Linked DNA regions of Macaca mulatta. The protein of the gene in region 1 interacts with the protein of each later gene in a pairwise test. Links are inferred from orthologs where the notes say so. Each region holds a gene or a part of one and is shown in the gene's direction. Other genes may lie near its edges. The genes, in order: FXR2, NME1, FBP1, NECAB2, PCBD1, SCEL and LCP2.

Region 1 (3,500 bases):
ACCCCATCTCTACTAAAAAGTACAAAAAACTAGCCGGGACAAAAAACTAGCCGGGCAAGGTGGCGGACGCCTGTAGTCCCAGCTATTTGGGAGGGGGAGGCAGGAGAGTGGCGTAAACCCGGGAGGCGGAACTTGCAGTGAGCTGAAATCCGGGCACTGCACTCCAGCCTGGGCGATACAGCGAGACTCCGTCTCAAAAAAAAAAAAAAATAAATAAATAAAAATATGTTTTAAAAAAAGAGGCCAGGCACAATGGTTCATACCTGTAATCCCAGCACTTTGGGAGGCTGAGGCGGGTGGATCAGGTCGGGAGTTTGAGACCAGTCTGACCAACATGGAGAAACCCTGTCTCTACTAAAAATACAAAATTAGCTGAGCATGGTGGCACATGCCTGTAATCCCAGCTACTTGGGAGGCTGAGGCAGAATTGCTTGAACCTGGGAGGCGGAGGTTGCGGTGAGCCAAAATTGCACCATTGCACTCCAGCCTGGGCAACAAGAGCAAAACTCTGTCTCAAAAAAAATAAATAAAAATTAAAAAATTTAAAAAACGTTGATCAATACCTCACTTTATATGTAAAACTTAATTCAAAATGGATTATAGGGCTAGGCACAGTGGCTCACATCTGTAATCCCAGCTTTGGGAGGCCGAGGCGGGTGGATCAACTGAGGTCAGGAGTTCGCGACGAGCCTGGCCAACATGGTAAAACCCCATATCTACTAAAAATATGAAAAATTAGCCTGGTATGGTGGCGGTTGCCTGTAACCTTAGCTACTCGAGAGGCTGAGGCAGGAGAATTGCTTGAACCCAGGGGGTGGATGTTGCAGTGGGCCAAGAGATTGTGCCATTGCACTCTAGCCTGGGTGACAGAGTGAGACTCTGTCTAAAAATAAAGGAGTATAGATGTAAATGTAAAACAAAAAACTAAAAGTTTAAGAAGACATAAGGGAAAACCTTTGTGGCCTTGGATTAGGCAAAGATTTCTTTTTTCTTTTTTTTGAGATGGAGTTTTGCTCTTGTCGCCCAGCCTGGAGTGCAATAGCACGATCTTGGCTCACTGCAACCTCTGACTCTCAGGTTCAGGTGATTCTCTTTCCTCAGCCTCCCAAGTAGCTGGGATTACAGGCATGCACTACCATGCCTGGCTAAGTTTTATATTTTTAGTAGAGATGGGGTTTCACCATGTTGGCCAGGCTGGTCTCGAACTCCTGACCTCAGATGATCGGCCTGCCTTGTCTCCCAAAGTGCTGGGATTACAGGTGTGAGCCACTGTGCCTGGCCTGGGCAAAGATTTCTTAGATATGAAACCAAAAGCACAGTTGATAAAATAATAAATTCATAAGCTAGACCTTTTTCAAAATTAGAAATCCCTAATTGTATGTGACAAATAGGGGGAAGGTAGAAAAATTGGGAGCGCAGGGGTGAACTCATGGCTTTGGCCTCCTTAGTGAGGACATAGACCACAGGAGATGGATCAGCTGTTCAGTCGTCCCTGTTCCTCTTGTCATAATATCAAGTTTGGAGTCTTCCATACATTTTGTTATCCTTTATAAATTTTCAGTGTCATTCTAGATTCAATTCTAGTATTAAAAAACTCTGATGTATTTTAAGTCTTAATTTTTCCTTCTGTAAATTGTGTTCATCACAATTTTGAACTTGTCTAGTGTTCTGATTATTGTCTTAGGACCCATGCATCAGGGCAGCGAGTCTGCTCAGATCTCTTGCTGTATTGCGGAGGTAGGCCTTTCTCTCTCTTGACAGATCCTCATGTCCTCTAGGTGTTCCAGGACAGCCTCACACTGTCTCATGGGATATTCTTAGCCTTGCTGAATGTTGTTGGTATTTTAATTGAACTCTGGCAGGCTGCTCAGCACAACAGGAGGCAGACAGATAGGGAGGCCCCTGTGGGAGCCTGAGTAGATCACCGGTTTCCAGGCTGTTCTGATGCAGGTGGTACATACACCTCTCCATGACAATATAATTTCCTTTCTCTGTCTGACTGCCCATATTCTTTCCCCAGTGCAGCCTTTCAGGCTCTCTCATTACACCACTTGTGTCCCTATCTAAAACTCAAGTTTAAGGGTTTGTGGTGTCTCTATTCCCTTGGTGGCTAAGGTGGAAGTAAAAGGTCATTTTATATTTTTTACTTTTTTCTAAAATCCATTCTAGGGCTTTGTGAAGGATGTCCATGAAGACTCTGTCACCATCTTCTTTGAAAACAAGTAAGACCTTGGGAATAGAGAATCCAGCATACTAGGTCCTAGAAGGAGAGTGGAGAAGAGGGGGCGGCTGAGTCCTATGAGGCATGTAATAGGTGGGGAGACCTGAGGGTTTGGGTGGGGAACTTACATGGATCCCAGGAGAGGAAAGGGCTGAGAATTTGGTGAGGGCGGGGGCGTTTGGCCCAGTATTTAGAGTCTAGAAAGAGATGGATGGCACCACTATGGAGCAGGACCTGGGGGTTAGCCTCTGATTATCCAGATAGGTGGGAATCGCCCAGCCGAGGCAATAACCCTTTTGTAAAGAAATGGGCAACCGTATCAGTCAGAGTAGCTTTTTCATATTCTTGTTTCTCTTACAGCTGGCAGAGTGAGAGACAAATTCCTTTTGGAGATGTCCGACTACCACCTCCAGCTGACTATAATAAGGAGATCACAGAAGGGGATGAAGTGGAGGTAAGGGCTGTGGAGTACACCCTTTCTAAATGTCACGTTTTCCCAGGATTCTAGGCTTTTCTCTGGTTGGTTCATATTCCTTCCTCCCCAACTAAACCATATCCAGCCACTAAGTCATTTCCATAGGCTACATGCCTGTGGAAATGTAAAATGCAACAGTTCCCCTTTCATCACTGTTATGATCAGCCAAACTCTGAGGGACATCCCCAGTTTCAGGGGATTTGCCTTCCATTTGTGGTAACAGCATCTAAAATCCAGTGTGCGCTGATTTTTTTTTTTTTTTTTTTTGAGATGGAGTCTCGCTCTGTCGCCCAGGCTGGAGTGCGGTGGCCGGATCTCAGCTCACTGCAAGCTCCGCCTCCCGGGTTCAAGCGATTCTCCTGCCTCAGCCTCCCGAGTAGCTGGGACTACAGGCGCCCGCCACCTCGCCCGGCTAGTTTTTTGTACTTTTTAGTAGAGACGGGGTTTCACCGTGTTAGCCAGGATGGTCTCGATCTCCTGACCTCATGGTCCGCCTGTCTCGGCCTCCCAAAGTGCTGGGATTACAGGCTTGAGCCACCGTGCCCGGCTTTTTTTTTTTTTTTTTTTCAGATGGAGTCTCGCTCTGTTGCCCAGGCTGGAGTGCAGTGGTGCAATCTTGGCTTACTACAACCTCCACCTCTCGGTTTCAAGCAATTCTTCCACCTCAGCCCCCCAAGTAGCTGGGATTACAGGCACTTGCCATCATGCCTGGCTAATTTTTGTATTTTTGCAGAGACGAGGTTTTACCATGTTGGCCAGGCTAGTCTTTTTCTTTTTTTTTTTTTTTTTGAGACGGAGTCTCGC
Region 2 (3,327 bases), about 50 Mb from region 1:
GTTGAGGGCCAGGCATGGTGGGTCACGTCTGTAAGCCCAGCACGTTGGGAGGCCGAGGCTGGAGGATCACTTGAGTCCAGGAGTTTGAGACCAGCCTGGGCAACATAGTGAGACCTTATCTCTACAAATAATTTTTTAAAATTAGCCAGGTATGGCTGGGCGTGGTGGCTTACGCCTGTAGTCCCAGCATTTTGGGAGGCCGAGGCAGGCAGATCACCTGAGGTCAGGAGTTTGAGACCAGCCTGGCCAACAACCCTGTTTCTACTAAAAATACAAAAATTGGCTGGGCATGGTGGGCGGGCATCTGTAATCCCAGCTACTTGGGAGGCTGAGGCAGGAGAATCACTTGAACCTGGGAGGTGGAGGTTGCAGTAATCAGGATCGCGCCACTGCACTCGAGCCTGGATGACAGAGGGAGACTCTGTCTCAAAATAAATAAATAAATTTTAAAAATTAGCCAAGTCTGGTAGTGTGTGTCTACAGTCCTACCTATTTGGGAGTCTGAGGCAGGAGGAACACTTGAGCCCAGGAGTTTGAGTTTTTTAAAAATGAGATAGCTGAATTTAATTTTAATGTTCTGTGGTTTTATTATCAGTCAATGCCAATAGGGAGACAATTGATATAAAATTGGAGAAGTACTTTTAGTCCTGTCACTGCTCCCTTCCAGTGTGGAGAATGAATTGGGTTATAACAGAATCAGTGAGCCCAACCACTCATGTTTTACATAGCAGGGTGGATGAGGGGAATTTACATGGATTGTATGTTCTTAGATGGTTTGGGGCCATTCTCATTCTCCGTCCTGTTGAATAGGCCTCTGAAGACCTTCTCAAGGAACACTACATTGACCTGAAGGACCGTCCGTTCTTTGCCGGCCTGGTGAAATACATGCACTCAGGGCCGGTAGTTGCCATGGTGAGTGTGCCTGTGTGAGATACTCCAAGTATGCATTGCTTGTCGTCTGCGCTAGGCTCTCTTCTAGACACTGGGGATACAGTCATGAGTGAGACCAAATAGATATCTATTTTCATATATCAGCTAATGGTTAGTGATAGGCCCAGAAATGAATAGGAGTAGCAAGTGATCACTTTAGAATGGATGATCAAAGAATGCAAATTTTAAGCTGTGATCTGAATGACAAGAAGCAGCCAGCTATGTACAGAATCACAGTGAAAAACATTTCCAGCCAAGCAAACAGCATGTGCAAAGGTCCCAGGGTGGGAATGAGCTTGGCGTTTTGAAGTATGGGAGGAGAATTGAAATGCCCGAAGCCTGATGGGTGGGAGAGAAGTTGGGATGTGAAGAGTTCAGAGGCATGGGCAGGGGCCTCCTCTCTTAGGGGTGTGTTGACCATGTAGTTCCTGAGTGCTGGGAAGCTATGGGACACTTCACACTTGGCCTTTTTTTTTTTTTTTTTGAGATGGAGTCTCGCTTTGTCACCCAGGCTGGAGTGCAGTGGCACAATCTCGGCTCACTGCAAGCTCCGCCTCCCGGGTTCACACCATTCTCCTGCCTCAGCCTCCTGAGTAGCTGGGACTACAGGTGCCCACCACCACGCCCGGCTAATTTTTTTGTATTTGTAGTAGAGACGGGGTTTCACTGTGTTAGCCAGGATGGTCATGATTTCCTGATCTCGTGATCCACCCGCCTCAGCCTCCCAAAGTGTTGGGATTACAAGTGTGAGCCACCGCGCCCTGCCCACACTTGGCATTTTAAGGAGGCTGCTCTGGTTGCTGAATGGAGAGTACATTGTAGAAAGGCAAGCATCAGGGCAGGGAGACCAGGATCCCTAGTGCCGGAATAAGTGGATACTCTAAATATTTGTTCAGTGAATGAATGTCATCTTAAGGGGCCTTTTTATTTTTTCCTATTTTTGGATTAATAGTTGCCAGATTTTCTGCTGAGATGGGTTTTCTTCTTTGACCATATCTTCTTCTGTCCTTGGAGGTCTGGGAGGGGCTGAATGTGGTGAAGACAGGCCGAGTCATGCTCGGGGAGACCAACCCTGCGGACTCCAAGCCTGGGACCATCCGTGGCGACTTCTGCATACAAGTTGGCAGGTGAGATTTTGCTCTTTTTCCCCCTTTTCCAAAATCTGATTTAGTTGCCACAAGGATTTGGGTTTTTGAGGCTGGAGGTAGACATGATACCATATGCAGGTTGATTTTATCGGAGTTTATTGTTTTCCTCCCCCTTAAGTTGGTGTTTGGCTTTGGTTTTTAAAATCACTGTAGTTGTACCTCCGTTACACGAAGTGTAGAACCTGGTACAACACACTTTGCTGGCCACAGTCTTTCCTGAAGGCTCTTACTGTTTGCACCAGTGTGACCGGGAGGGCTGAATGTGGGGAGGGCATTTTTCACCCTTACATGAATGGCCATTGTAGGCTTTTTCTTTTAACATGGTCTAATGTCCATGGAGCTTCAGCTTTTATGCTGCCGTGGCTGTAGATTTCTGGCAATGGGCGCATTTTAATCCTTCTGGTCTTGGTCATGTGACTATCTCTTTCTCCACCCAGGAACATTATACATGGCAGTGATTCCGTGGAGAGTGCAGAGAAGGAGATCAGCTTGTGGTTTCACCCTGAGGAACTGGTAGATTACATGAGCTGTGCTCAGAACTGGATCTATGAATGACAGGAGAGCAGGCTACAATGCTTTCACATCCATTTCTCCTCCTTCCCATGGGCAGAGGACCAGGCTCTAGGAAATCTAGTTATTTAAAGGAACTTCGTCATAATTTGGAAGGAAGCTCTTGGAGCTGTGAGTGCTCCCTGTACAGTGTTACCATCCCCTACCATCTGATTAAAATGCTTCCTCCCAACTTAGGATTCATTGAGTTGGTTACTTTGTATTGTTGTATTTTTTTTTCTTCTTTTCATGTACACTGAATAACCTGACCTAATAGAGAATGTAAATACTATAAAAATTATTTATATTGAGATCTCACATACACACAGGCATTCTTTGCCTGCCCTTCTTAACCCCTGCGTCCCTTCCACTCTTGGCATGGAGCTACTCAACAGGCATCTATGGAGCATCTGCTACATGGCCAAGACTGGACTAGGTGCAGAGGATTCATCAGAAATAATACATGAGGGCTGGGTGTGCTGGCTTGTGCTTGTGATACCAGCTACTTGGGAGGCTGAGGTGGGAGACTAGCCTGGGTAACAGAGCAAGACCCTGTCTCACTAAAAAAAAAAAAAAAAAAAAAAAAATTAGGCTGGGTACAATGACTCATGCCTTTAATTCCAGCTATTCAGGAGGCTGAGGGGAAGAATCGCTAGAGGCCAGTACAAGTCCAGCGTGGGCAACACAGCAAGACACTGAC
Region 3 (4,217 bases), on another chromosome or scaffold:
GCAGGTGGACAGGGGGGCAGCACGGGCAGGTGGACAGGGGGGCAGCACAGGCAGGTGGACAGGGGGGCCAGTGACAGGACGGGCAGGTGGACAGGGGGGCCAGTGACAGCACAGGCAGGTGGACAGGGGGCCAGTGACAGCACAGGCAGGTGGACAGGGGGGCAGTGACAGGACGGGCAGGTGGACGGGGGGGCAGTGACAGGACGGGCAGGTGGACAGGGGGGCCAGTGACAGGACGGGCAGGTGGACAGGGGGGCCAGTGACAGGACGGGCAGGTGGACAGGGGGGCCAGTGACAGCACAGGCAGGTGGACAGGGGGCCAGTGACAGCACAGGCAGGTGGACAGGGGGGCAGTGACAGGACGGGCAGGTGGACAGGAGGGCAGTGACAGGACGGGCAGGTGGACGGGGGCCAGTGACAGGACGGGCAGGTGGACAGGGGGGCAGTGACAGGACGGGCAGGTGGATGGGGGGGCAGTGACAGCACAGGCAGGTGGACAGGGGGGCAGTGACAGGACGGGCAGGTGGACAGGGGGCCAGTGACAGGACGGGCAGGTGGACAGGGGGGCAGTGACAGGACGGGCAGGTGGACAGGGGGGCAGTGACAGGACGGGCAGGTGGACAGGCCTGGGCAGGGGCCGGGCAGGAGGCCGCGCGGGCGGGTCTGCGGAGCGGGGGCTGCTGGGGGTTTCGCTGCCCAACTGGGGCGCTGAGCAAGTTACTCAACCTCTGTGAACTTCCGCGTCATGATTGTGGAGGAAACTCCGGCAAAGAAACAGCTTTTCTCTCCGGCGGGTCCGACGGCCCGAGCCCCGCCCCGCAGCGCAGATGGAGGGCGCGGAGGCTGCGGGGGCGGCGCGGGGAGGGTCCGAAGATCCGGCGGGCGGAGCCGCGGGCTGGGCGGCGGGAGGCGGCGCGGGGTGTTCCCGGGGGTGGGGGCGGGGCCGACCCGCGGCTAAAGGTTCCCGGTTCACCCGCCCGCGCCGGGCCTGGCCCAGTCTCACCGCGAGCGCCGCGGACACTCGGGGCCGCAGTCGGTCTGTCCGTCCTCCCGCCAGGTCCCGCCCCGCACCTGCCCCCGCACCTGCCCCCACACCTGCCCCCGCACCTGCCGCCGCACCTGCCCCCGCACCTGCCCCCGCACCTGCCGCCGCACCTGCCCCCGCACCTGCCGCCCCGCACCTGCCGCCCCGCACCTGCCGCCGCACCTGCCGCCCCGCACCTGCCCCCGCACCTGCCCCCGCACCTGCCCCCGCACCTGCCGCCGCACCTGCCCCCGCACCTGCCCCCGCACCTGCCGCCGCACCTGCCCCCGCACCTGCCCCCGCACCTGCCCCCGCACCTGCCCCCGCACCTGCCGCCCCGCACCTGCCCCCGCACCTGCCGCCGCACCTGCCGCCCCGCGGCCCGGCCCCAGCATGGCTGACCAGGCGCCCTTCGACACGGACGTCAACACCCTGACCCGCTTCGTCATGGAGGAGGGCAGGAAGGCCCGCGGCACGGGTGAGCTGACCCAGCTGCTCAACTCGCTCTGCACGGCCGTCAAAGCCATCTCCTCCGCGGTGCGCAAGGCCGGCATCGCGCACCTGTGAGTCGCCTCGGGCGGGGCCCGTCTGTCTGTCTGTCTGTCTGTCCGTCCGCCCGGGGAGCCTGTCCGGCGCTGGGCCCTCTGGTCCTCCTGCGTCAGCCTCTGTCTGTCCGTCTGATGTCCGGGCGCCTCTCTCGCTCTGCGTCTGGTGGCCCCTCTCTGCGGAAGCTGGCTCAGCCTCACTCAAGTTCTCACCCCCTCCCTTGACCTTGGAGGGGCCACCTGGGGGTCCGTCTCGCAGGTGCACGCCGGATTCCATCCTCGTGCCCCTCTCAGCCGGCACCTGGCCTGCCCGTCATACCCGCCCTGGCCTCAGACAGGAAGTGCTGGCTCAGGTGCCTTCCGTCCCCATCTCTTCTTTCTCTCTTTCTGTGATGAGGCGCCCAAGTCAGGTTTCTAGTCCAGTATCTCTGACCCGAAACGAGGCTTGTTAGGAGCGAGTGTCCCCCTCCCAAGCAGGCTGGAGGTCTCCTGTGTGTCCAGAGCCTTTAGGAGCAGCAGCCTGGTGTGCAAAGGAGCTCCCGTGGGCTGCCCCTTGCTGGGACCGTTGCCATGCTGTGCCAGAAAGAGGAAACACCCAGGGCTTCAAAACCCTTATCCATTTGCAATGACGGTGTGTGCAGCCCCCACCCAATTAGTGGAAAGCTCAAAAGTTGTTTGTAGAATGGTTTCGAATGCTCTGTGGGGTGCATCTCGAACGTCACTGGGCACCGGAATCATTGGGGATCTTGGTAAGACGTGTGCCCTCTTTCCGTCGCTCTGGGACGGGTCCTGAGATTCGGCATTTCTGAGAAGTCCTCCTGTGGTGGATGCTGCCGGTCAGATACTGTGTGTCTGCTGATCTCATTGTGAGTAGCAAGGGGTCAAGGCGAGGGGAGACTCAAAGGACCCCTTCTTGTGAGGTTTTTGTAAGTCACACAACATCCTTTCGTTTGTGTTGGTGTGCACAGGTATTTTCTTTTTCTTTCCTTTCTTTCTTTTCTTTTCTTTTCTTTCTTTCTTTCTTTTTTTTTTTTTTTTGAGACGGAATTTTGCTCTTGTTGCCCAGGCTGGAGTGCAATGGTGCGATCTTGGCTCACCGGAACCACTGCCTCCCGGGTTCAAGCGATTCTCCTGCCTCAGTCTCCCAAGTAGCTGGGATTACAGGCATGTGCCACCACGCCCAGCTAATTTTGTAATTTTTTTTAGTAGAGACGGGGTTTCTCCATGTTGGTCAGGCTGGTCTCGAACTCCCGACCTCAGGTGATCCGCCTGCCTCGGCCTCCCAAAGTGCTGGGATTACAGGCATGAGGCACCGTGCCCAGTCGTGCACAGGTGTTTTCTAGCTAACTGATCCACACTTTTAACTAAAGGGTAACTGGGTTTTCAGATTGTCCATACACCTTCCTAACATTTCCTGCACTTACGTACGCTATAAAAATGACACATGATGGACCGGGCGCGGTGGCTCACGTCTGTAATCCCAGCACTTTGGGAGGCCAAGGCGGGTGGATTGCCTGAGGTCAGGAGTTCAAGACCAGCCTGACCAACATGGTGAAACCCCGTCTCTATTAAAAATACAAAAATTAGCTGGGTGTGGTGGTGTGCGCCTATAATCCCAGCTACTCGGGAGGCTGAGGAAGGAGAATTGCTTGAACCCTGGAGGCAGAGGTTGCAGTGAGCCAAGATCGCACTATTGCACACCAGCCTGGACGACAAGAGTGAGACTTCATCTCAAAACAAAAGACACATGATGCTCAGAGCTGACCTGAACAAATATAATCCCACTACTTTGGTTTGGAATGCATGTCTCCATTTTTAAAATCTCTTCTCCGCCCCCCATCCTGCAATCTAGATTCCTCTTCTTACTGGGAGGCTGTCTGGCGTTGGTCCCACAGTATGGATTGGCGGAGATCATTCATGTAAAGGAGTTGTATGATCACATTTATTTTTGAATATTAAGCAGACATGTTAAGGAAGGCGATGACTCCATTGCTGTTGCCTCTGGCCCCTCTTAATAATACATTCCTAAGGATTCTTACTTTAGAAACACACCCAGGTGAAATCTTATTCAAGCTTTAATTTACAGCTATTATAGGTGGCTCACAGCTTTAACTGCCTTTGAGGACCAGGGATATATTTTAAAAAGAGGGCTGTCGACTGGGTGCTCACACCTGTAATCCCAGCACTTTGGGAGGCCGAGGCAGGTGGATCACCTGAGGTCAGGAGATGGAGCCCAGCCTGGTCAACAAGGTGAAACCCCGTCTCTACTAAAAATACAAAAATTAGCCAGGCATGGTGGCGGGTGCCTGTAATCCCATCTACTTGGGAGGCTGAGGCAGGAGAATTGCTTGAACCCGGGAGGCGGAGGTTGCAGTGAGCCGAGATTGTGCCACTCTACTCCAACCTTGCGACAGAGTGAGACTCTGTCTCAAAAAAGTAAGTCTCAGAAAAGAAAAAAAAAAGGGCTTCTCATGTCTGATAGCTTAAAAAATGGTCAGTACCTGTCACACTCCTAGAGAGACTTAGAAATGTAAGATGTGTTTTGAAGTGTCCCACTTCCTAAGTAACCTTAGATAGTGGGACCTCAGATAGTGAGATTTTGATAGTAGGGCCTGGATGAAGCATGCTAATTTTGGCTACAGAAGATA
Region 4 (2,757 bases), on another chromosome or scaffold:
GGAGTTCAAGACCAGCGTGGGGACCATAGCAAGACCCCAGCTCTACTAGGACATTTTTTGAATTAGCCAGGCCAAGTGGTGCACACCTATAGTCCCAGCTACTTGGGAGGCTGAAGTGATTGTGCCACTGCACTCCAGCCTGGGCAACAGAGTGAGACCCTGTCTCAAAAGAAAAACTACATGTCATTGACAAATAGCTATTGGCCACTATAAGAAACCAGGCCTTGTTCCAGGTGGTGGGGGCACCCTGTTGAGTCTCGCTGGAGGACCAGAAAGGTTGAAGGCAGCGGTTGTGTATAGGGGTGGGCTACAGGACTAGGGTGGCCACGGTTGAGCCCCAGCCTCCCTGCCTGTCTGTCTCCTGTTGCAGCATCACTGCCGTGAGGCTCTCGGATGGCTTCACCTTTGTCATCTATGAGTTCTGGGAGACGGAGGAGGCATGGAAGAGGTGAGACACTGGGTCTCCATAGCAGGTGTGGGGGCTGTCTTCCTGGAGCCAGGAGCTCCTGGTGGGTAGAGAGACCCCCCACCACGCTCTTTCCCTGTAGAGCACCTTGTGGGCCAAGGCACTGCCTTCTTTATCACCCTGTAGAGCTGAGGACCTGACCTAGAAGGTACCTCAGTCCCCATGTGATCAGTTGTTCCAGCGCTTAACCTCCCCCCCAGCTGAGTGCCTTGTAGGAGGGAGGGAGATGGGGTAGGGTGTCATCAGCTCTGATGGGCTTTAGGCCTTTGTCGTCTGCTCCAAGCACATCTGGGACAGGTTGTTCCCCACTCTGGGCGGAGCCTAATTTCTGATGCGCCAGACCCCACAGGCAGGAAGCAGGGCCTGGGGGTAGCTCATGCCCCGATATCCTGCTTCCCCGGTAAACACAGTTTGCAGAGAAACTCAGGACCCCTGTGGGAACAGGGGCTGTCATGAGAAGTGAGGGTGTCCCCTGCCTGTCCGTACTTCAGTGACTCATAAAATGAGGGACTAAAACCCTTCACAGCTGCTGTGTTGTCATCCGTCCCAGGCGGAGGATGGCCCCACTCCTCCTCCTAGGGTAAAACAGGAGGTCGATGCTCTGTGCACTGAGTAGGGGGATGCCACTGCCCATGTAAGGCTCAGTGCCTACCCCAGAGTCAGCCTCCCTAGGCACCCCCTCACCTTCCCACAAAGGCTTGGAGTCCAAAGACCCCCCCCCCCGGGCTTATTTATAAGCTCCCCATTTTGGGCAGAGCTAGGATTAACAGGGGATCCACATGCCAAGCTCCACTCCTGGTGCCCCTAACACATCTCCCTGGATCGCAGGCACCTGCAAAGTCCCGTGTGTAAGGCGTTCCGGCACGTCAAGGTGGACACACTGAGCCAGCCTGAGGCCCTCTCCAGGATCTCGGTGCCAGGTAGGGGGCGAAGGCCTGGAACTGCAGTGGCCACTTGATTGGAGAGCCGGGCAAGAGCCTAGAAGCCACCCCGCCTCTCCCAGGGACTTGCCTGCAAGCTCCTGACCCCAATGCCAGGTGTGCAGGGAGGGTCCTAGGGGGAGAGGAGAGCTCCAGGCTCAGAGCCAGCCCTGAGGTGGCCCCACATCCAGGCATGCCGGCCGGAGCTTGCACCAGAGCACCCCTTCCACAGCCCGCTACTTCTAGCCAGACTGAATTTCCCTTCCCAGGTGTGTGGTTTGCTCCTGGGTGACCAGCAAGCACCCGTGGGTCACATAAGGACTCAAAGCCATCTCCCCACCTGCCCTTCAAGACGGCCCCCACCAGCTACCCACATTCGCACTCCTTCCCTCTAACCTGTCTCTGTCCTTCTAGCTGTTTGGTGCACGGTGGGACGGGACTGACAGCCTCCCAGAGGCCCGCGGAGGAGCCCACCCCTGGCCCCTTCTGCTTGTGAAGGACATCCCCTGTGTTCTAGAAACTGGTGCAGAGGCTGTCTTTTCAACCCGTCTTCCACACGGTGTTTCCCTGCTGTGACGTGAAGGAGGCCTCCCCTGCCCCCACCCGAGAAGGCAGAGCAGTCTCTGTGCTGCCCGGTCCTGGTGAAGCCCAAGGTTGTGGGTGAAGGGGGCGGCTTCCTGGGGCCAGCACCCCCACCTCCTGGTCCTGGCCTCTCCCCGACCCCTCAGACGGCCACGCATGACCCGCACTCACCACGCCCTGCCCTCTTCAGTGACATTCTTCTACCTGGTAGGAGTTAGGACCCTGTAGTGCCCAACCTAGCCAGGCCGCCGCCACTGGGCCCAGGCGCCGAATAAACCCTGGTTGGGAAGGGCTGTGTGCTCTGTGTCTGTTCCTGGTTGACAGCAGCAGGGGCCTGGGCACCCTGCAAGTGCCCCCAGCCTCCGTTTTCTGAACCATAAAATGGAGGTGTTCACTCTATGCGGTATTTTGACACATAGGCTCATGCCTATTCAGGAGCCCAGAGGGCACCACCCCCACCCTCAGGTCAGTAATTCACTCAGAGGACTGGGCGCAACTGTCAAAGTCAAGGTGGATGACAGACAAAATCCAGCAAAGAAAGAGGCTCCCGGAACAGGGGCCAGGCAGGGGCTGCCAGTAAAGGCCACAGACATCACTGAACCCTCCCAGCTTCAACAGACAGAGCATCACCAACCAGGGATGCAGTCCCAAGTCTTACTGGGGTTCGGTGACATAGACACGGCTGACACCTTGTGGCTCAAGCCCCCACCATAAGTCACATGGTTGGCACAGACCACGCAGTGTGGCCCAACTAAGACACTCACCAGGCACGATGCTCCAGGGACGGGC
Region 5 (4,024 bases), on another chromosome or scaffold:
TTTACATAAATTTAAAAATACATATAGACGAAACAACACCACACATTTTGCAAGAACGTGTGCAAACAAAAATACACATTAACACATTAGAGAGGCTGCTATGGGCCGTGGCGGCGGGCGGGGGGGAATAAAAATGGAGTACAAGAATAAAAGGTAACAGAAAAAATGTAAAATGTGAGAGGACTTTTCTAACCTGACTCTAAGACTTATTATAAAGCTATAATAATCAAGACAAGGTAGCGTCCTGTCATGATGGACAAACAGATCAATGGAACAGAAGAAAGGGCTCAGAAATAAACCCACACATATATAATCAATTGATGTTTTACAAAGGTGCGAAGACAATTCAGTGGAGAAAGGAATAACTGAATCTCCATGTGCAAAAGTGAATCTGGATCTATAACTTGAAGCATACAAAAATATTTACTCAATGTGGATCACAGACTAAATGTAAAACCCAAAGCTCTAAAACATAGGAGAAAACTTTTGTGATCTCGTGTTAGGCCAAGATTTCTATGCGTACAACATCAAAATAGAAATCTATCAAAGAAGCATTTGATAAATTGGATTTCATCAAAATTAAGAACGTTTGCTCTTTGAAAGGCAGCGTAAGATAATTCAAAGAAAATATTTGAAAAGCACTGCCTGATCATGTCCTTATATCCAGAAAAAAACACCCTCAAAACTCGGTAAGAAAACAAACAACCCAATTTCTTTTTTAATGGGCAGGAAATTCAAACATGCTATTCACCAAAAAAGACTTATCCTTAGCAAATAAGTACATGAAAAGATATTCAATATCATTAGTCATCAAGGAAACTTGATATGTTCATAATCTTGATCTCAGTGTCGGTCTCACGAGGGAAACATTAAAATTCATCAAATTGTACACGTTGAATATGTGCAACTTATTGCATGTCAATTCTATCCAAATAAAAGATTTTTATAAAGAAATAAATAGTTATTCTGGCGCCCAGGGCCACCCAGCTGTAAGCGGCGGGCTGGGATTCCAACCCTGAAGTGGGCATTTGGAGCCCTCATGCTTCACCCTAGCTCCCTGAAACAAGCTCGGAGGATTGGCTCTGAGCAGCGAGGAAAGTGCTGGAAGGAAGCAGGCCGAGCGCGTCCCTGGCTGGGGACGTTAATCATTACCGGAGGGCGGTCCGAGCGCGGCCCCGCCCCGGGACGGCCGCCTGCGCGCCCGGCCGCCGCCTGCCCTCTCCGCCGGCCACCTGCTGCCGCCCGCGCCATGGTGAGTCCAGGGGTGCGCCGCCGCGATCGGGGCAGCGGGGCCGGGGCAGCAGCGGGCGAGGTGGGAGCGGGACGGGGCGGGGGAGGGTCTTTTCGAGCCTCCTGCGGAGCCGCCGGGGTCCGAGAGTGGGGTCTCTGCCCGGGTCCCTGTCGCCGGCGGCGGGGAGGGGAAGCTGAGGCCCTGAGAGGGGCATGGCGGGTCCCGGTCCCAGCCAGTTGGGAGGCCAGGCCTGCCCTGACCCAGGCCAGTGCTTGTTCCCGGACCCTGCTGGGGGCGGGGCCTACGACCTTACAGGGCCGGGGAGGACCGTGGTGGGAGAGTTCGCAGATCTCGTCCCCTTAGTGGCCCGATTCGGCTTTATACTGGGGTGGGAGCGAGAGGCAGGCTGAGTTTGCGCGCTCCTGTGCGTACCCGTCCGCGCCCCTTCCCGCTCGCACTCTGGATACAGGGTCTGTCCGCCTGGGACTCACGCTCTGAGCCCATGTGCGGTCCCGGGCTCCAGAGCCAGCCTCCGCGCCGGTTTGAGGCCGGTGCCCGGCCGCGGGGGCTTGGTGGCGCAGGAGCAGCCCTCCTCCCGGGCTAGCTTCCCCCACCTACCCCCGGGGCGGGGGCGGGCCCCTTGCTCTGCTGTAAGCTCGGGCGCTTCATCAGACCGTTTCTGGCCCACAGGCCTTCGGAGCAGGCAAGACTGGGAGGGCCTTTTGATGGGAGAGGGACTTGGGGGAGGGAGGATGAGTGGGGCTGTTTGTGAGGGGCGCTGAGGCCCCCAGAGATGCAGGCTTGGGAAATCGGCGACCACTCCCCACACCTCGCCAGAGGAGGCAAGACCTGGCGGGGATTTACTAAGCAAACAGGGCACCGTCCCCCTCTCCAGAGCCGGCACCTGGAAGATTTGTCAGTTCAGCCCCAGGCTCTGCGACTTGGGGGGTTCCAGAAGGCTCTACCGAGAAAGGGAAGCCTCCTAAGAGCTCACCTGGACTCACCCATCCCTTTAAGAGCCAAGGAAGTAAACAGTGGGCTCTGATGCTTTGGCTGACTTCTGGTTGTCTGGATACACGGACCAGGCAGTCAGCCACGGGGAGAGGGCCAGCTCTGGAGTAGAGACCTCCCTACTGGGCAGATGATGCAAATCGCTGCTGCCATTCAATCCCTGTAGCCATCTAGAGCCGAGGAGAGGAGAGGGGCCAAGCTCCCTCAGTCCGGAGAGAGCTCACGTTTTCAGGAGGGAAACAGGAGGGAAAAAAGACGGACTTAGGAAAGCACTGCGATGCTTCAGCTACCACAAATGCTACCAGGCCCATCACAAGCCTACTTGCCTTAGGAGGTATTTTTTTGTAATGCAGATGACATTTGCTTTATAGCAGTGGAGTTTCCTAAAGTGTCCCATTGGCACCTCCTGATGATCTGTGGAGGTAGAGGTTCTGCCAAGAGAGGTACAGCCACCTGGCTGGTAAATGGTGAAAGCGGGGCTCAAACTTCCTGCCAATCAACACATGGTGTTCAGTCTGCAGGCTGCCTCATAAAAGCTAAATTAACCTCCCTCACATTCCCTCCTCACCCCTAAGTATTTCTTTTCAATTCAGCACTCTATTTCTGCCCTTGGGTGGTGCTACTCTAGAAGCCTAGGTTCTGGGATCCGTTAAGGTCCTAGACCTGGATCCTCCTAGGATGAAACTGACCCTTGCTTCCTTGCATTCTCTGAGGTTCCACTCATGGCCTGAATTGTGCCAATTTGGGCTGCGTTGAGGGCACTTTGCACATTAGGTAAATAGGACAGGGCACTAGGTTTGCCAGCTGCCTTTGGCCAAGTTCCTTCCACTTTGGGGACTGAGTTCTGTGGCCTGAGCTTCCCAACCAGCCAGAAAAGCAGATGGAAAACCGGAGAACCTAGCCCTGGCGGCTCAGGACCAGAGGCTGCCTGGGAGCATGACTGAGGACCTACTAGAGGTAGTGCCAACACGGTCAGCTACAGTGTGGCTAAGAATGGGCTGGACACTTATTTTAAATGCAGCTCCTTTGTCCAGCCCCAGGGATGCTGACACACAGACAACACTGCGCCATCCCTGGCTAGGGGAGGGCAGGAAAGAACAGCAGACAAGTCGTTTCCCCTCTCTAGGCCTGTTTGCTCTTCAATACACATGAAAGTTACCGTAGGGACGTGGGGTGCATATGATAAAGTACATAATAGGAAAAGGAAGGGGGGACAGTCATGGTACTCTTCCTCAGAGGTTGTGGAGTAATATATTTGCATCTGGGATTTATTTTGCTTTTACGCCCTCACTGATGTAATAGATCTTATGGAGGGGAAGGTCTGTAAGGCTTTGAGGGCAGGATAGGGGAAGAGTGTCTCTGTCCCCGTCATATGAATTGCATTGCTTTTGGGATTTCCTTTCTCTGTGTGGAGTGTAAAACCCAAGACCTGAGAGCCTATCAGCGGACAAGCCTGGACCCCACCTCCTGGGCAGAGTGCCACCCTTGAGGGCTTCCAGCTTATTGCTCAAAGACCTGCTGCCCTTGGTCACCCACGTCCAAAGCAGCCAGTGGAGGCTGGCTAAGTTCCCCTAAAGGCTGGAGCCCCTGTTTTGACCTATAAAAAGAAATGCTCTTGGGCCTCGTTTTTTCCCCTCTTCTAGGCTGGCAAAGCACACAGGCTGAGTGCTGAGGAGAGGGACCAGCTGCTGCCAAACCTGAGGGCCGTGGGGTGGAATGAGCTGGAAGGCCGCGATGCCATCTTCAAGCAGTTTCATTTCAAAGACTTCAACAGGGTATGGC
Region 6 (4,070 bases), on another chromosome or scaffold:
GGGTCTCACTCTGTCACCCAGACTGGAATGCGGTGGTGTGATCACAGCTCACTGTGGCTTGGTCCTTCCATGCTCAAGAGACTCTCCTGCCTCAGCCTCCTGAGTAACTGGGAACAAATACATGCACTATCACACCCAGCTGATATTTTATTTTCAGTAGAGATGAGATCTCTCTCACTGTGTTGCCCGGTTTGTCTCAAACTTCTTGGCTCCAGTGATCTTCCCACCTTGGCCTCCCAAAGTGCAAATGAAAGCCACTGCAACTGGCCAGAAGCAACCTTTGACATTGGGTCTACTGCTGCCCTCAGTTATGAGAGAAGTTTCAACCATCCTTTTCACATTTTTTTTTTTTTTTTTTTTCTGAGAGAGTCTCACTCTGTTGTCTAGGCTAGAGTGCAGTGACATAATCTTGGCTCACTGTAACCTCCACCTCCCTGGTTCAAGTGATTCTCCTGCCTCCTCCTGCCAGAGTGGATGAATGGTTCTTCTTGACCATCTAATCACTGTCTACTAAGACTTTAAAACTCTGCATCAACATCACCTTCCAGGTTCTTCCTTCTCTCCCCTATGCGATGCCTGGCATTGAAAATTTCTGTCTATGACTTTATCATGGTATGTTACTGTTATTAAATATAGCTGGGGTTACAGGTGTGCGCCATCACACCCAGCTAATTTCTGTATTTTTAGTAGAGACAGGATTTTACCATGTTGGCCAGGCTGATCTTGAACTCCTGATCTCAGGTGATCCGCCTGCCTCCACCTCCCAAAGTCCTAGGATTACAGGTATGAGCCACCACGCCTGGCCCTTTTTCACATTTTTTTATACATGGATAAATAAGATAGAGATTAGAATTCTTATGTGCTGGGTGTATTTTCCCTTTGATAGTTTTACAAAATATTCTAGGTGTAGAATGTTTGGAACAGACTTCTTTCGTGTTTTCTGATCCTAGGGTTCCTGGGTTTTTGAGAACTTGTTTGTCTTGAAGTTTCCTTTAAGCCATGTACTCCTTGCATGCTTGTCTGTGCCCCTGCCTTCCAGGTACTGTGGGCATATGGGGGTTCCTTCTATTGAGTTTTCAGTTTTATTTTTTGAAAGAGAATGCAAAATAGATTGGGTCCTATGCCACCTTGTCAGTGATATGGTTGTGCATATTGTTGATATCAGTTAAAGGGCAATCACAGGAGCGTATCTATATATATATATATTTGCATAACAAGGCCGTAAGTTAAAGAATTCACCAAACAAAGGCCGTAGGTTCACGAGTGAGACTGTTTTAATTGAACTGGTATTTGTACAAGGTGACACCCTGTTGCATACCACAGACCTCCTCCCTGAGTGACTCAGCCGCTGAGAAAGAAACCTCTGAACTGTTCATTAATACAGTCAGGTAGAGGTTGAGACTCCACTGAATAAACTCTAGGTTCCCATTTCTTTCAGTCAGATCCTCCCAGGGAATCACTACAGGCCGGTTAGCCAAAAAGTCCTGGTTTTCTGCTCAATAGAGGTAAGTTGAATTATACTTGCAAACAGAAATACATCTGCTGTATGTGCACAGCTTTCTCTGTGTTCCTTTCAAATGATTAAAATTAGAACTTACAGTATTATCTTTGTCTTTTCTTCCTATAAATTTTGACAGCCTCCAGCTGACTGTTAGCTCTGCTCTTCCTTGCTGTACTTTTAGGCCACATTGCATTGAACTTCTTGGCAACTTTACACATTACGGGCATCACAGAAATGAGCACCTATTTGATTTTCTGGGTGGGAGCTGTCAGCTGGTGAATCCTGCCACACAAAGGATAATAAATTATTTAAGCGAAGGGACCAGCACCTGCTGGTTTATTTTCTCAAGTGACTATACAAACATTTTTTAAAGGAACTTTCTGTTTTCATAAATGATGCTTTTAGTGAAATAGTGAACTCAAATATTGCTTTATAGTTAATAAGTCATATTTTTTCTCTACTGCTAAAAATATTGCAAGTTGTTGAGCTATGAGAGAGAGAGGTTTATTTTTATGAGGTTTTTGTCTCCACCCTATCTTCCCCAAATAAGAAAATTGCCATTTCTTACTTGAAAGTACCAAGGAGTAAAGGCAGGGTGTGGGGGCAGAATAGGGGTATATATGATCTGTGGGCATCTGGCCAACTTCTCTACAGTATATTCTGCATTCTAACCTAAGGAGTGATTAATATATATGGGGGCAATTTTCAAACTTTATTCATAGCCTAGTCCTGAAAAACCAGTTTTGGGAGACTTTTGGTAAGGATAGAAGAGTTCTTTTGTAATTAATAGTTAAGCTGACTTGTCTGGTTTGTGTTTTTTTTTTTTTTTAATCATTTCTATTTATGATACAGAGCTGTGGAATTCAAATGCAGGGGCCACTCACAGCTTGCAAATTGCAGGTCTGTGTCCTCCAGAGAGGCGCCCCCACAGCATACTTGGCTCTATCTTTAGTACTTGAGTTCTCATGGCTTCCTATTGCTGACCAGGTCACCTGCAGTCTGAGAGGGGTTTAGGCACACCAGTGCTCAGTGCTCATTTCCCAGAGGTTTACCGAAGAATTTTATAACTTGGCTTTCAAGTGTTTATAGTAACCAGAAAACTAAAGCATAGCATGTGTGGGTAATTTTATTTTTCATAAAATGTGATTACATTTAAAACTGTCTTTCACTTCCACAGTTTATAACGTAGATATAGCCTTCCTAATATTTGCAGTGCTCCAGTGTTTAAAGTATCAGAAACATCAATTTGAGAAAACTGAGAAATGACAACAGTAAAAATTTTAGTAAAACATTCAGATGATCCTAAATGTTGGGATATACAGAGAATGCCAACAACAGGTCAGAATTTTTATTGGAATGTTAGCTTCGTGTAAATCTTAGATCTAATTGACTGAATATTTCAACTGAAATGGAGCATAGGCCCATCTAGTCTAATGCCTGAATTTTCTAGATGAGAAAAACAAAGCATAAATGTTAAGTAACTTGTGAAGATCAGAGTAGCAGAACCAGAACATGAAGCCAAATTGCTTGTCTTTTGTCTTACTGAATTTTCTCAATATTTTTTTCAAATACTTTTTATTATAAAATATGTAGTAGCAATAAACGAACCACACTCCATCACAGACTGTGGTTATCCAGCAATATGTGGAAATATTATACTGTGTATGGTGTGACTAAGACATAATGGAAGACGTAGACATATGTTTCCAACTTGTGGCTTGTGGAATCAGTGTTGCCATTTATTATATTTATGAGATTTTCATCTCAGGATCCAGTAGCCCCTCAGCAGGGAGGGGATCTGATGTATGTGTGTTAGCTGTGGTCTGTACAATCAGAACACCCTCGCCCCGAATGCCATTCTGTAGGTGATGCTTACCTGACTGCCTTCTCAGACTACCAGAATTATGATGAAATACCTGAGAGGTTCATATTCCTGGGGACTATGTAAACAAAACAAAGAATATGTTTTGAATGACTGAGCTCATACTGTGGAATGAACTAAGCAGTCAACTTAAGCAAACATTGTTTAACTGAGAGCATCCTATATGGTTCAGGCATCAACTCCCACCATTTCTTAAGAGTGAGGGGATCAAATCTTTGGCCCTGCAGTCCAAGGGAAATCTTTATTGGTTTCACTTGGCTTCACTTTCTGTCATTATCCTGCTTCTAGACCATTTGTTGATCATTTTCCATTTGCTCTGGCTAGGGACTTTGAAATAAAGATTTTTATATATTAATTGCTGCATACATAGCTGGAGTTGTTCCAAGTTCACTTCTGAATCAAAAGTCATTTTTGTTGTTGCTTTTTTTTTTTTTTGAGATGGAGTCTCGCTCTTTTTGCCAGCCTGGAGTGCAATGGCACGATCTTGGCTCACTGCAGCCTCCGCCTCCCATGTTCAAGTGATTCTCCTGCCTTAGCTTCTCGAGTAGCTGGGACTACACGTGTGCACCTGACTAATTTTTGTATTTTTAGTAGAGACGGGGTTTCACCATATTGGCCAGGCTGGTCTCGAACTCCTGACCTCAGGTGATATACACGCCTCGGCCTCCCAAAGTGCTGGGATTACAG
Region 7 (3,500 bases), on another chromosome or scaffold:
GGGACAGAATGAGCCAGTTGTAGGAAGAGCTGGGAGAAGAACATTCTAGGCAGAGGGAAACAAGTGTAGGGATGCCAAAGAGGGCATGACCTTGAGATTTTCCAAGAACTGCAAGAAGATTCTAAGGTGGAGACCCCATGGGTACTGAGAAGGGATCACAGGAAAGAGTTGAGAGAGCAGACGTGGGCCAGCTCAGGCAGGGCCTTGCAGGACATTACCGAGTTTTAATTTTGTTTCTAATGTGGTAGGAGCCACTGGAAGTCTTATCAGGAAAGTGACATGCTCACTCCGCTGCCTGCAGAAAAGAGCTTACGTGGCAGAGTCTAGAACAGGGAGCTCAGATAGGAGGCTACTGCAGTAGTTCAGGGAAGAAATGGTCATGGATGTTTTTAGGCAGAACATGAAGATAAGGAAAAGTGAGCAGATCCAGACAGGTTTTGGGAGTGCCAGGTCTTGCTGATGTATTGGAAATGCTTCCTAACGTTTGGATCTTTATGCAGCCACTACCACCACCCCAGACCAACCACGAAGAACCCAGCAGAAGCAGAAACCACAAAACGGCAAAGCGTGAGTACAAGGGCTGCTCTCTCTTGCCCTGTTCCCACCAGGCACTCCCCTAGCCCCACCCCATCCCCAGCCGACTGCTTTCTTCTTTTCATTGATGTCAGCCTTTTCCCCTTCCAGTCCCTGCTCCTTCAATAGACAGAAGCACCAAACCTCCCTTAGATCGTTCATTAGCTCCGTTTGACAGAGAACCCTTCACACTAGGTGGGTATGATTCACATTTAATGCATAGTAATAATGATAAGCTGTTATAAAGTGCTTCCTGCATGCATTTCACATGCACCATCTCATGTAACTATGGCCACAATACTAGGAAATGGAGACTAGTAGAATCATCCTCATTTTACAGATGAGGAAACTGAAACACAAAGAGGTACCTTCCCAAGATCACACAGCTACCAAGTGATGGGAGTAGAGACCTAAACCCAGATTTGCCTCATTAGAAAGCTCCTGCTCTCTGCTCCTGGGGGTGGTGCTGCTTCTCTATGTGATGTGTGTGATCTGTGTACAGAAATCCCATTGTCCTTCAGCCAAGAGGCTTTGGGGTACAGAGAGAGGATCTGAATTGAGACAAGGGGGTTAGGGGAGCTGGTGTCTGCTGCCTTGCCTGCTACTTAGTAGCTCACAGACCACTGGGATGTTAGTTTTTCAGGGCTCAATCTCCTAATCTGTAAGGTGGATGTTCTGTACATAGAAAATGCTTTATAAAATCCCTAAGGTGCTATTCAAATGTCAGGGATGTTTTGGTTTTAGGTACACAATTGACCAAACTTGGGTATACCACAGTCCTTTTTCTTCACAATTTACACGGAATATTCTTGGATTGCAGTTACCTTCATGGGGAGCTATTTTCAATTCAATTCTAAAACTTAGCTACCATTTATTGAGCAACTACTGTGGGGCAAGTGCTCTACATACTGCGAATACACCTACAGTATCTCTAATCCTCACACCAACTCAACAAAGGACATGCATTTTTATCCTCACTTCTCAGATGATAAAATTAAGGGTCAAAGAAGTTGAATAATTTGCCTAAATTTGAACCCTCGTCTTTCTGACTTCTAAGTGGGGGCTCTTTTCCACCATATCACGCTGCAGTTGAGGACCCTGGGTTTTAACTTGCTGTGAACTACATGAGTCTGAGGAAGGAACTCTGTAACTGAACGGAAAGGAGCTCAGAATCCCAGCTGCCCCTCACCCCTTTCTTGGCTGTGCTCTGAGCCAGGCATTTAGCTTTCTGTGGCCTCAATCCCTTTTTGTCTGTCAGCAAAATGACTTTCAGTTCTTGGATTTGAGGCTGCTGCTCACTGCTCTTTCCCCGAAGTACATCACAGCTCTGCTGAGTCATGCAAACCTATGCTGGCTGTTTTGGCTTGGAATCATCTGCTATAGAGAGCTGTGTAATTACATGGAAATGAAGACAGATTTGACTTTAGATTCCAACCCTGCTCACTGCCATGAGCCAAGACATCAGAAAAGTGGAACACTGACATCAAATCCTTCACAATCCCCTCCTGACACAAAAGTTATTATTTTAAAAGATTCTTTTTTTCTATATTTAAAAACATTTTTAAAAGACACACTTTTCTGACAATTTCTGTTTTACCCTTGAATTAGTCCCTTTTCTGTGATGTTTTGGAAGGATTACTGACTTCTTAAAATGTTTACACTCCACATGAGACTTTTAACGTACTCAGAGAATATGCAAAAATTGGCAAATTTTAACATACTTATTAGAGGTTCCACCCCAAAGCAAAGTTTCATAAACAGCTTTTATACCATCAAAACTCTCCCACTACCAGCAAGTTCCTTTTTTTTTTTTTTTTTTTTTTTGAGTCAGGGTCTCACTCTGTCACCCAGGCTGGAGTGCAATGGCACCATCATAGCTCATTACAGCCCCAAACTCCTGGGGTCAAGCAATCCTTCTCCAGCCTCTCAGAGGGCTGGGATTACAGGTGCATGCCACCATGACTGGCTAATTTTTAAATATTCTGTAGAGACTGGGGTTTCCCTGTATTCACCAGGTTGATCTTGAACTCCTGGCCTCAAGTGATTCTCCTGTCTTGGCCTCCCAACAGGCATGAGCCACCACACTCAGTGCCAGTAAGCTCTTCACAGTGAGGCAATATTCTTATCATGGGCCTGGCATATTCTTGGTCCTTAAAGAATAAATCATGTTGTGAAAATACAACTCCACACCATTCGCCATGGGGCATTAGCTGCGCCTGGGTGTGGAAGGAAGGGAAAGAAAGGCGAGTTCACTAACAATCGTCAGCCCATATGACCATATCAAAGTCAAAATAAAAACGTAGAGGCAAATCTCTAAATTTGTTTTATTTAGGAAGAAAGAATTGCAATTTGGGGCAATTGGTCTTCAGGGTCTTCAGTATGTCTGAAGAACATAAAGAAGATTGGAGGTTTTATTGAAAAGAGAAGTGTTACATATCGCTCATTGACAAAGTTCATTGGTTATAGCCGGGCGCCGTGGCTCATGCCTGTAATCCCAGCACTTTGGGAGGCCTAGGCGGGAGGATCACGAGGTCAGGAGATTGAGACCGTCCTGGCTCACATGGTGAAACCCTGTCTCTACTTAAAAAATACAAAAAAATTAGCCGGGCATGGTGGCGGGCGCCTGTAGTCCCAGCTACTAGGGAGGCTGAGACAGGAGAATGGCGTGAACCTGGGAGGCGGAGCTTGCAGTGAGCCGAGATCGCGCCACTGCACTCCAGCCTGGGCGACTGAGTGGGACTCTGTCTAAATAAAAAGAAAAAAAGAGAGAAAGTTCATGGTTCTGGGGGGCTGGCAAGTTTTGATTGGTGAGCGATGGCAGAGGGCAAATTAATCTTCAAGTGGCAGCAGATTATTTCAGCAACTACCAGATAAAAGTGGTTTCAGGTTACAGCAGGCAGTTTCAGCAGCCAACCTCGCACAGAATC

The links.
Region 2: the proteins of FXR2 (region 1) and NME1 interact in binary tests that used the Homo sapiens proteins (3 or more experiments, as listed by UniProt). The link is inferred for Macaca mulatta from reciprocal best matches to the Homo sapiens genes FXR2 and NME1.
Region 3: the proteins of FXR2 (region 1) and FBP1 interact in binary tests that used the Homo sapiens proteins (3 or more experiments, as listed by UniProt). The two-hybrid records come from large-scale screens. The link is inferred for Macaca mulatta from reciprocal best matches to the Homo sapiens genes FXR2 and FBP1.
Region 4: the proteins of FXR2 (region 1) and NECAB2 interact in a two-hybrid assay, tested with the Homo sapiens proteins (2 studies listed by BioGRID and IntAct). The link is inferred for Macaca mulatta from reciprocal best matches to the Homo sapiens genes FXR2 and NECAB2.
Region 5: the proteins of FXR2 (region 1) and PCBD1 interact in binary tests that used the Homo sapiens proteins (3 or more experiments, as listed by UniProt). The link is inferred for Macaca mulatta from reciprocal best matches to the Homo sapiens genes FXR2 and PCBD1.
Region 6: the proteins of FXR2 (region 1) and SCEL interact in binary tests that used the Homo sapiens proteins (3 or more experiments, as listed by UniProt). The two-hybrid records come from large-scale screens. The link is inferred for Macaca mulatta from reciprocal best matches to the Homo sapiens genes FXR2 and SCEL.
Region 7: the proteins of FXR2 (region 1) and LCP2 interact in binary tests that used the Homo sapiens proteins (3 or more experiments, as listed by UniProt). The two-hybrid records come from large-scale screens. The link is inferred for Macaca mulatta from reciprocal best matches to the Homo sapiens genes FXR2 and LCP2.

What each region holds. Positions count from the first base shown.
Region 1 is NC_133421.1:9,095,700-9,099,199, reverse strand, and holds part of FXR2 (RNA-binding protein FXR2), read left to right. Parts: intron 1-1,867; exon of another isoform or gene 1,868-1,944; coding exon of another isoform or gene 1,945-1,950; intron 1,951-2,169; coding exon 2,170-2,222; intron 2,223-2,581; coding exon 2,582-2,675; intron 2,676-3,500. UniProt on the Homo sapiens protein: mRNA-binding protein that acts as a regulator of mRNAs translation and/or stability, and which is required for adult hippocampal neurogenesis. Specifically binds to AU-rich elements (AREs) in the 3'-UTR of target mRNAs.
Region 2 is NC_133421.1:58,843,836-58,847,162, reverse strand, and holds the end of NME1 (nucleoside diphosphate kinase A), read left to right. Parts: intron 1-810; coding exon 811-912; intron 913-1,944; coding exon 1,945-2,057; intron 2,058-2,515; coding exon 2,516-2,633; 3' UTR 2,634-2,827; downstream 2,828-3,327. UniProt on the Homo sapiens protein: Major role in the synthesis of nucleoside triphosphates other than ATP. The ATP gamma phosphate is transferred to the NDP beta phosphate via a ping-pong mechanism, using a phosphorylated active-site intermediate.
Region 3 is NC_133420.1:128,832,751-128,836,967, forward strand, and holds the start of FBP1 (fructose-1,6-bisphosphatase 1), read left to right. Parts: upstream 1-1,417; coding exon 1,418-1,587; intron 1,588-4,217. Other genes in the region: uncharacterized protein LOC144334803, read right to left, coding at 1,000-1,155, 1,222-1,419. UniProt on the Homo sapiens protein: Catalyzes the hydrolysis of fructose 1,6-bisphosphate to fructose 6-phosphate in the presence of divalent cations, acting as a rate-limiting enzyme in gluconeogenesis. Plays a role in regulating glucose sensing and insulin secretion of pancreatic beta-cells.
Region 4 is NC_133425.1:79,364,322-79,367,078, forward strand, and holds the end of NECAB2 (N-terminal EF-hand calcium-binding protein 2), read left to right. Parts: intron 1-370; coding exon 371-448; intron 449-1,294; coding exon 1,295-1,386; intron 1,387-1,800; coding exon 1,801-1,829; 3' UTR 1,830-2,257; downstream 2,258-2,757. UniProt on the Homo sapiens protein: May act as a signaling scaffold protein that senses intracellular calcium.
Region 5 is NC_133414.1:78,748,809-78,752,832, forward strand, and holds the start of PCBD1 (pterin-4-alpha-carbinolamine dehydratase), read left to right. Parts: upstream 1-1,224; 5' UTR 1,225-1,249; coding exon 1,250-1,252; intron 1,253-1,564; exon of another isoform or gene 1,565-1,934; intron 1,935-3,885; coding exon 3,886-4,017; intron 4,018-4,024. UniProt on the Homo sapiens protein: Involved in tetrahydrobiopterin biosynthesis. Seems to both prevent the formation of 7-pterins and accelerate the formation of quinonoid-BH2. Coactivator for HNF1A-dependent transcription.
Region 6 is NC_133422.1:72,337,079-72,341,148, forward strand, and holds the start of SCEL (sciellin), read left to right. Parts: upstream 1-1,270; 5' UTR 1,271-1,505; intron 1,506-4,070. UniProt on the Homo sapiens protein: May function in the assembly or regulation of proteins in the cornified envelope. The LIM domain may be involved in homotypic or heterotypic associations and may function to localize sciellin to the cornified envelope.
Region 7 is NC_133411.1:179,132,062-179,135,561, reverse strand, and holds part of LCP2 (lymphocyte cytosolic protein 2), read left to right. Parts: intron 1-500; coding exon 501-567; intron 568-684; coding exon 685-768; intron 769-3,500. UniProt on the Homo sapiens protein: Adapter protein primarily involved in signaling pathways within T-cells, as well as other immune cells such as platelets, mast cells, and natural killer (NK) cells.